Linked DNA regions of Cricetulus griseus. The protein of the gene in region 2 purifies or fractionates together with the protein of the main gene of each other region. This does not show direct contact. Links are inferred from orthologs where the notes say so. Each region holds a gene or a part of one and is shown on either strand. Other genes may lie near its edges.

What was found.
Region 1: the proteins of Ap1s2 (region 2) and Ap1g2 purify together in Homo sapiens (affinity purification with mass spectrometry; 3 studies listed by BioGRID and IntAct, counting the BioPlex papers as one, with this or other methods). This does not show direct contact. The link is inferred for Cricetulus griseus from reciprocal best matches to the Homo sapiens genes AP1S2 and AP1G2.

What each region holds. Positions count from the first base shown.
Region 1 is NW_023276807.1:210,295,824-210,300,153, forward strand, and holds the start of Ap1g2 (AP-1 complex subunit gamma-like 2), read right to left. Parts: upstream 2,825-4,330; 5' UTR 2,802-2,824; coding exon 2,776-2,801; intron 2,619-2,775; coding exon 2,414-2,618; intron 1,953-2,413; coding exon 1,828-1,952; intron 1,691-1,827; coding exon 1,549-1,690; intron 1,431-1,548; coding exon 1,334-1,430; intron 1,160-1,333; coding exon 1,083-1,159; intron 961-1,082; coding exon 865-960; intron 330-864; coding exon 249-329; intron 1-248.
Region 2 is NC_048604.1:98,735,373-98,739,471, reverse strand, and holds the start of Ap1s2 (AP-1 complex subunit sigma-2), read right to left. Parts: upstream 2,836-4,099; 5' UTR 2,821-2,835; coding exon 2,642-2,820; intron 1-2,641. UniProt on the Homo sapiens protein: Subunit of clathrin-associated adaptor protein complex 1 that plays a role in protein sorting in the late-Golgi/trans-Golgi network (TGN) and/or endosomes.

The DNA.
Region 1 (4,330 bases), on a different chromosome or scaffold from region 2:
TCCCCGTGATTTCTGGAAGGTGACTACTATGTTCTCTCTTCTCTGTCCTTCTGCCCCTAACAAAGTTCCCTGATCCCTACTCTATGTAAGAACTGCCTGTACACTAGGGTGATAGAACAATGACAGACTATATCCTTCCTTCACGGAATTCATTGGTTTAGGAGACTTCTGAATAATAAATGGTCATGTGAGGAAAGTCCAGGGCTGATGGACCCTAAGGAACCACATGCCGAAGGGGTGCCTCTTACCTGGGCCAGCAAGTCATTCATGGCCTCACTGCTTTCTTCATGGTTCCGTCCCAGGATTCGAAGCAGACGAAGTATCTGGACCTGAGATTGGATTAGAAGGTTTATAGGATAATGTCGTGGGCCTGAAGTGAAAACACCTAACACTGTGGGCAACACCGAGGGTTCTGACTCCCAGCACGCCCCCACCCAACAGATCCCTGGACCCTGGGAGGAGATCAGAGTTGTGTAGAGTCAGGGGGGGTTGGAACAGGCCTTTTTTGATTTGTTTTTCGAGACACGGTTTCTCTGTGTAGCCCTGGATATCCTAGAACTTGCTTTGTAGACCAGGCTGGTCTTGAACTTGCATAAATCCGCCTGCCTCTGTCTGCCTCCCAAGTGCTAGGACTAAAGGCATGTGTCACCACACCCGGCTTTGGAACAGGCTTTTTATATGGTTACCAAACTGGATTTTCTGACTTTTTGGTAGCTACCTTTGATTCCCTATCCCCAGTCCTAGGATGACTAGAGCAATCATGAGCTTGCCAGTTGGACTGTGCCAAAATGGAAAGTGACTACCAGCCATGGTCTTCCTGTGAAGCCTTTGCTGTTCCAGGGATACAAGTACATCTCAGCTTACCTGTAAGAAGGGATCACTGACTCCACAGATGCTATGCTCTGTTGAGTATCCTGTTGTCACTAGAGTCCGGAGGATCTGTACCAGCTGGGGTACCACCTGGAAGAAGGGCACAGGCAGCCTTGTCTGAGGGTACCTCCTCTCTTCTCAACCATCAGCCCCGATTCTTCACCCACCTCCCGCCTTTGCCTGCCCCACGGCCTGCCCCTTCACTAGCCCACCTTGCGAAAGTGCCTGAGGGCTGCAGGATTTCTTTCACAGAGCTCCGTGATCAGCGTGGTGGTGCCCAGCAGGATGCCTGGGGTCAGGGTGGGGCAGTGAATGGCGGGCCAGGCCATGGGACAGTCTACTACACGTGTGTTTGTATGTGTGCACCACCCTTGTCCGATGAGCAGGGCTTCCTGATTTGCTTTTCATTTCATCTATCCATAGCCAGACCTGAAGTGGACAGTGGAGAGCCCTGTGCCCTTACCATGATGGCGCTCATGGAGCAGTTTGGCACAAGGTGGGAGGAAGACGCTGGAGAGCTCGGGGTCCTTCCGGATCATATGCACAGCGGTCAAAACAGCCTGCAGAAGTCAAGGGCCTCAGATAGGGCCACCAAGTAAGTCAGACTCCGCACCTCTCCTATGTGGCAGATTGGGAACACCTTCTGAAGAGGCAGATGTCTAGAGGTCTACATCTCACCTTCTTTCGTACATAGGGGCTAGGCTGCAGGAGCAGCTTCTCCACCTCGGTGGCTAGGTCTCGGCACATCTCAGCAGAGCCCATGGTGCTGAGAGTACACAGGGCCAGACCCTGAACTGGCTGAATCCCTTGGCTCAGGTCACTGTAGGGTTTGGAAGGACGGTCAGTCAAGCCAGGGGAAACCAGTTCTTCCCAGTACTGATAGCAGGCAGCCCTCTGGGATTTTGCGGTTCCCACTCTCCCAACGCCCTGATTTGAAGCACCCCAGAGCCCTCTCACTTCTTGATGCTGTTGGTAATGAGCAGATGGGCATCGTGCCTCTCATCCAATAGAAGCATGGCCCCAAGGTAGCCCACCCTCTTGTCTGTGAATCTGGGGGAGGCGATCAGTTTCAGGCACTCCATCTACAGGGAAGGAGGCAGGCCAGGAAGAGTAGTGTGAAACCACAGCACTAATTTTGCGGCATCCTCCTCCTTAAGGCCAGATTAACTTGTGAGGAAATCAAATTTCATCACCCTCTCTTTAACCAGAGGCTTAATTGGAGATCCAGATGATGGCAGGCAGGCTTCAGGGACCTGTGTAGGAGTGGAGGCTGGGAAGGTGCTAAGAACGGGGCTGGCTAGTAGAGTAATGGATAAAAGGCTCAGAAACTAAAGGATTTAGCTGGGCGGAATGTGGTATGCCTGAAAATCCCAACACTGAAACCGAGGGAGGGATTTTCGCCAGTTCTAAGCTAGCCTAGGCTACATAGACAACCTGTCTCAAAACAAAACAAAAACTAGAGAAAGAAGCAAACGGGATACAAATACACAAAGGGGCCCATTGATCATCTTCCTCAAGTTTTGTAGCTATCCCGGGTCAGTACCTGTCCAAAGTGGGCGGGGTAGCCCAACATGTGGACGTAGAGCAATTTGGCCAGCTGGCGATGCCTCTGCAGAGGGTCCCCATCGCGGAAGGAGGCCCGAATTTGAGCACACTCCTTCTGAATCACTTCCCGTTCCTGGGCCTGAGTCTTGGCCCCGCGTATCTCTTCGATTAGGTCCTGAAGTTTCAACGAAGGCACCACCATCCTGGGGGCAGAGCCCGAGAGTGGAAAGGCTTTAACCCATTCCAGCCAGATAGCTAGAATTGCTCTGTGCCAAGATCTTCAAGGGCTTGAGTCACACCACCATCCTAAAACTGTGCCCACATTTACCTCCCACCTGGAACCGAGAGCGACCATCCTACCTCGCAAGGACATCCCCACTACGCATGCGTCCTCGCCCCACCCCGTGTCTTTTTCTACTGAGCCTGCGCTAAAGCCCAGTCCCTTTCTTGCTTTCCTTCCCCGACAAGTTTCTTACCTCTAGTTTTCCTTCTGGATCCCTGAACTATTTCTTTTGCGAGATTCCCTGCTCCCCTTCCCATCTCAGGAGGTATCAGTTTCCCGGTCCCAACCTCACCTGGCTTCGGTGTCAACTCTGCTTCTCTACCCCCACCCAGCACTTCCTGGTATAGGACGCGGCTGGGCTTGGTGGTTGGTCTCTGTCCTTCCCTCTTCCCCGCCTCTACTACGGGACCCCGCCCCTCTAGAGCTGCAAGACTGAGCAGCCTTGAGATTTCTGACCTCTGGCCTCAGTCTTTGGAACTTTGGGAAGGAGCCTCGAGTTGTTACAGAACTGTGGCTCCCCAAGGGGCCTCCTTTATTACCCACCCATCAGGTGACACTCAGCTTGAATTTGAAACCATCGCACTCCAAAGGAGATAACAGTCCCCCCCTTTTTGGAACTTTTTTATTAATATACTTTTTTTTTGTTAAATTTCTTTGTATTTTTTTTTCCTGCAAGACTTGTGTTGGCGGCACTGTTGTATAACGTCAATCCCAAATTCCATGATATAGAAATCAGAAGTAAAGGTTGAGAAGGGAGGGAGGAGGAAGGCAGGCCAGGGAGTAAACAGAGGTTGACTAGAAAAATAAGAAGAGTGTGTGTGGTGGGCATTCCCGGGCAAGGCCATTCCTTGAGGAAGGGGGTTGGCAGGCAGCTTGCCTCTGCCTCATGCAGGGAAGGAAAGTTCCCCTGGGCTCTACAGTTTCCTCTTGTAGAGCTTTCTGTCCCCAGAGGAAAAGCTAGTAACAGGGATCAGCCATATCTCAAACAGGGCTCTTCTTCACCCACTTCTCACCTGGGGTTGGCGCCCGCCCACCTCTGCCCTGCCTGGGAAGTGTGGGAGACATTGCTTCCTCTGACTCCCCTTTGTGTTCCCATCTCACAGGACTCTGATGTGATGGGCTGGAAACAACTAGACTTGTTGCAGCTTCTGCTGCCCTTCCGGCTCTTATCTGACTTGGCTCTATCCTCTAGAAGTGCTCCCCACAACTGCCAGAACTGAGGAGCGGAGTCTTCGATTGCTCCCGTGCCTCTAACCCTCGGCAGAAGTGTCTTCTTCAGGCCCCTTAGGAATTTAATCAAAGGCCACAAGTGAGTCCAGACCAACCAAATAAATTTTTAGGGGGCAGAAAAGGATAGAGAGGTGAGTGGCAGAGTCTGAGAGGAGTGGGCTTGGTGCACCAAATAGTTTTTGTTGCTTTTCACATTGCACTTGGCACAGCATGCCATCCTTGGGGGTTGGGAGAGGGACTGGCTGAGGAGCAAAGGACAGGGAACATCTAGGGAGTTTTCTGCTGTTCACTCCCCTTTTCTCCCTCGGGGAAGGATCAAGTTAGGCAAGAACTTAGCTGGGTTCTGGGATGTCAGAGTGGATCCAGGTGACTCTCCTTGCAGTTCTCCATTTGGGCCAGTAA
Region 2 (4,099 bases):
GACATTCTCTGGCTTAAAAGTTCTTATCTTCCAGCCTGAGCAGGGAAAACACATCACCTGATAATAACAAAATACATGGTTAAGTGGGAAGTAAATGAAGTTTTCAGTATGAAATGCGAGGGAGCCTATAGAAAAACATTATACACTCTGTATTTTATATATGAAACATCTCAATAAAGCTATTTTTCTTTTTGTTAATTCCAAATTTCATTTGAAAAAAAACTTTGATCTAAATATCAGATCAGGTTGGAGTTCTCTTTTATCATTTCTGAAAAAGGTAGGGAGATCACCAGAATAGGCTGAGCGACAAGTCTACGAGCTCCAACCTGCTGTTTCCTTTTCTTCCTCTGAATGGCCCCATTCATGGGCTTGTTCTCTTGCTAGGATTTTCCTCCTCCACACGGGGGACTCCTTTCACTATCTAGAAATAAGCTTAAACTTCTCACATCTTTTATAAACCCTATCCAGGATTCCAGAATACAGATCTAGCCAGCAGTTACCACCTCTTCTGTCCTTGGCAAAGCTCTCCCAAATACTCTACACATGCGGTTTCAACTTCTCTATCTTCACCTCGTTATATCACGAATTCTGTCTCTACTCCACTGACAATGTTCTGGCAACAGGGCAATGCATGAAGTGCTTACTCTTAAGATTCTAAGAGCTGTTCACTTTTACTGAATTTCATGAACAGCTGGCATTAGTGTTTTACTCTCAAATTTATCTGCTCCTGGGCTTTACTTACCTAACATCACTCCTTTGCTTCTTTCTCATTTTGATCTGCAAGCCTCCTCTTTAGCCCTTCCATCTGCACCTGAATGCTAGTGATCTAATACTTTAAGTTTAATTGTCACCTTCAAGTTCCATGCCTATGCCCACCACATCCCATCAGAGAGCCAAGTGAACAAATATGGCCATATCAACTTGTCACCAAATTAACTGAATTCTCTAGCTTACCTTTCATCCCATAAGCCAAACTCTAGAAATGGAGGTGCCTCCACTGTACTCCCTCTTTCCTTGGTTGCTATCTCTGCTTCTTGGGGTGGCCAAGTCTACTGAGACTTACCTAGGTAACAGGTCTCCTTTCCAGCCTCTCAGCTCAGGACCCAATTATCATGCAGTCCCTCACTGATCCTGCAGGTGCCAGTCTCAGCCCCTTTCACTCCCCCAGCCAAGGTTTCACAGCAATCTTTTCAAAAATGCAAATCTAATCTTTATTTCTTCCCACATCTGTTTAAAACCATTGCCTCTACACTTAAGACAAGTTGTAGCCCCATGCCCATCACTAGTATATGACCTTGGGCCAAACCACTATTCACAAATTCTCATCTTTTATAAATTGAAATTTGAACAGTAACTGTTTTTCAAATTGAAGACCTCTCTCTAGTGCAGAGAGCAGAGGCCAATTGAGCCAGGGCACAGCTTCTTATTTTTCATTCCACAAAAGCAACTGTATTTCTACTTGTTTTAGTCAAGACTCTATCCCTGTCAAAAAGATATATATTTTGTGTGTGAGAGTGTGTACGTGTAGATTGTTCTAAGGCATTTCCCAGCTTTCAAATGCTATGATTTTCCTATGATCTTTCTCAACCAGTACCAAGCCAAACACTGAATTTAAAAAACCACCCAGACTGATGAAATTCATTATGAAATAAAGATAAGTCTAAAGCACCTAAGAGGGTTTTATGTCCTATAAATCTCATTTCTTACTCTGTCACCTCCTCCACCACAAAGCCCATCCATACTTGGAATGTTGTATCAGAAAATAGAAGAAAACATGATTTCTTTCCACCTTCATTGCATTTCCTACTGTTAGTTTTCTGTACACTCCCCATACAAGAGTGTTTTATATGAAGAAATGCTTTTATCTTAAATTCAGTAAATTATTCAAAAAAGACCAAAAATGGGAAAGAAACAAGAAATGTTCCCTCTAAAAACAGTCTATAATATAAAATAAAGATGTATAGCATTAAAGAAAAAAACTGTGTAAAAAGCTAATCTATAAGTTATTTTGCAACATCACTTTTAAAAAAAATCTATCCTTGGTAAAATTATCATATCTAAGCAGAACTCCGCCATAGCAACAAGTCTATTTGAAATTAAAAATACTACTAGCAAAGAGATCTTGTATAGACACAAGTACTTAAACATCTGTATAGTGAAATGGTCTATGTGCTCAGGGTCTTTATAAGTAAGATTAATATAGAAGTCAGATAAAAGGAATGCCAAATATCAGCTACTTGATAAATCTTTATAGATTTTTTGGAAGGATTATCACACTATTATCTATGCATGCCCATTATTTATCAAATTACTTAAAAATTTAAAATAGTGTCCCTACTACCCCTGTAATGAAATGAATTCATTGAATTTTTCTAAAATGTTGACCAAGCACAAATAATTGTTTGGCTGTAATTATATAATTAATTTAATAATGATTACCCTGCTGCTAGCATTTTAGCTTTAGGCAAGCAATCAAAACAGCCATTATTTTTAAAAGGAAAGTTTTCCTTTAAACTAACTTATTTCATTGAAATATTTGTTAATCCTTGTTGATTGACATAAAAAGTCTGCAGTTTTCTCATTAGAGATAAACCTAATGTTTGATCATATTTCACCTTTCTGATAAATACAAAAATGATACCTCTTATAAACAATCTTCAGATCTCTCCACTCAAGGAAGCTACACATCTTAGGTTTCCGAGCTAAAACCGTTTGAACAAGTTCTCTTGTGATCTTCTTCTTCTCTTTGTCTGAGAGTGGGACATACCACTTCTGCAGCCGAAGCTTTCCCTGACGACTAAAAAGCAACATAAACTGCATCTGTTAAGATAAATAAAATCAAGATTACATACAATTACCTAGGAATTAAGAGTTAAGATCACATGGTTTTTCAGAGCTGCTTTGGGGATACAGAAAATACCCAGCCAAATGATTAGTAAGCCATCAACACATCTATTCAGGCTATAATAGCAGGAAATTCTTTTGGCAAGATCTTCTTACTATATGTAGGTAAGTGTAGAAGAGAGTGTATGGCAAGAAGAACAGGTGGGAATTTGGAGTGAAATTTTTGAAGAACTCTGATTATTTAAGAAACAATTTTCTCCTTGTGCTACACATTCCACACTATATGCATCAAAAGGCAACTGTAGACATCAGGTAGTTGATTTAGGTACTACCCCGAGACTATTCTAGTTCCAGGCTGAATTTCTTGCAGCCAGACTGATTATCACTTAAAGCACTCCCCTCAATTTATGCTAACATATGTAAGCAAAACAGAATATTAATCAAAAAGATCTCACAAACAACACATTTTCTTAACAAAAGCCTGATTTTTATGTTTGCATTTCACTTTTGTAAGATCTAACACAAATAAGCACTGGAGAACTGAATTAATGTAAAATGTGAAAGAGAATAATACAAGTCTGAAAGGCTTAACCAAAAGTTATTTATATTGAGACACTGCAGAGAATACTTAATTTAAAAACAAAATTTGAGACATTTCACAAAATACTTATTTTAAAATAAAAATATATTTGAATATATGCTGGATTCTAGTGTGTTTTGTACACACTAGACGGTAATTTGTATGTATTTACTTAGCATTTGCATGTCTGTTGGTCAGGCTACATTTTCTAAGGCAGGTATTTTATAATTCAACTGGTAAAAAGGAGCTCTATTGTAAAGCTAATTTGAAGGTAAATTCGGTTAGGTGTTCTCTTTTAACCCTTTTAAGTTCCTTTAACAGCACCAGCCAGTGCAAGTAAGACCCCAAGGCAGATCTTAATATTCACCACACCACCTTAAATTTGAACACCGGGAGGAGGAATTTACGTAACTAATATAAAATCAAACTGGCTCTAAATTTCGACAGGAAATTCACTTCGTAATATCCCCAAAAGGCTTCAAGAAAACATGCGGAAATTTATGGCGTAGCCATTTAACTTTAATGAAGTTAAAATTGGCTATTACCCACAACACGCTATATAATTCATTGATAGCAAAGTGCCGCCCATATAAGTTCTGAAGACAGCAGCATTCGAAGAGGACGACAAGTAAAGCATCAACTGGACATTCAACGCAAACCGTTACTAGAACTTGG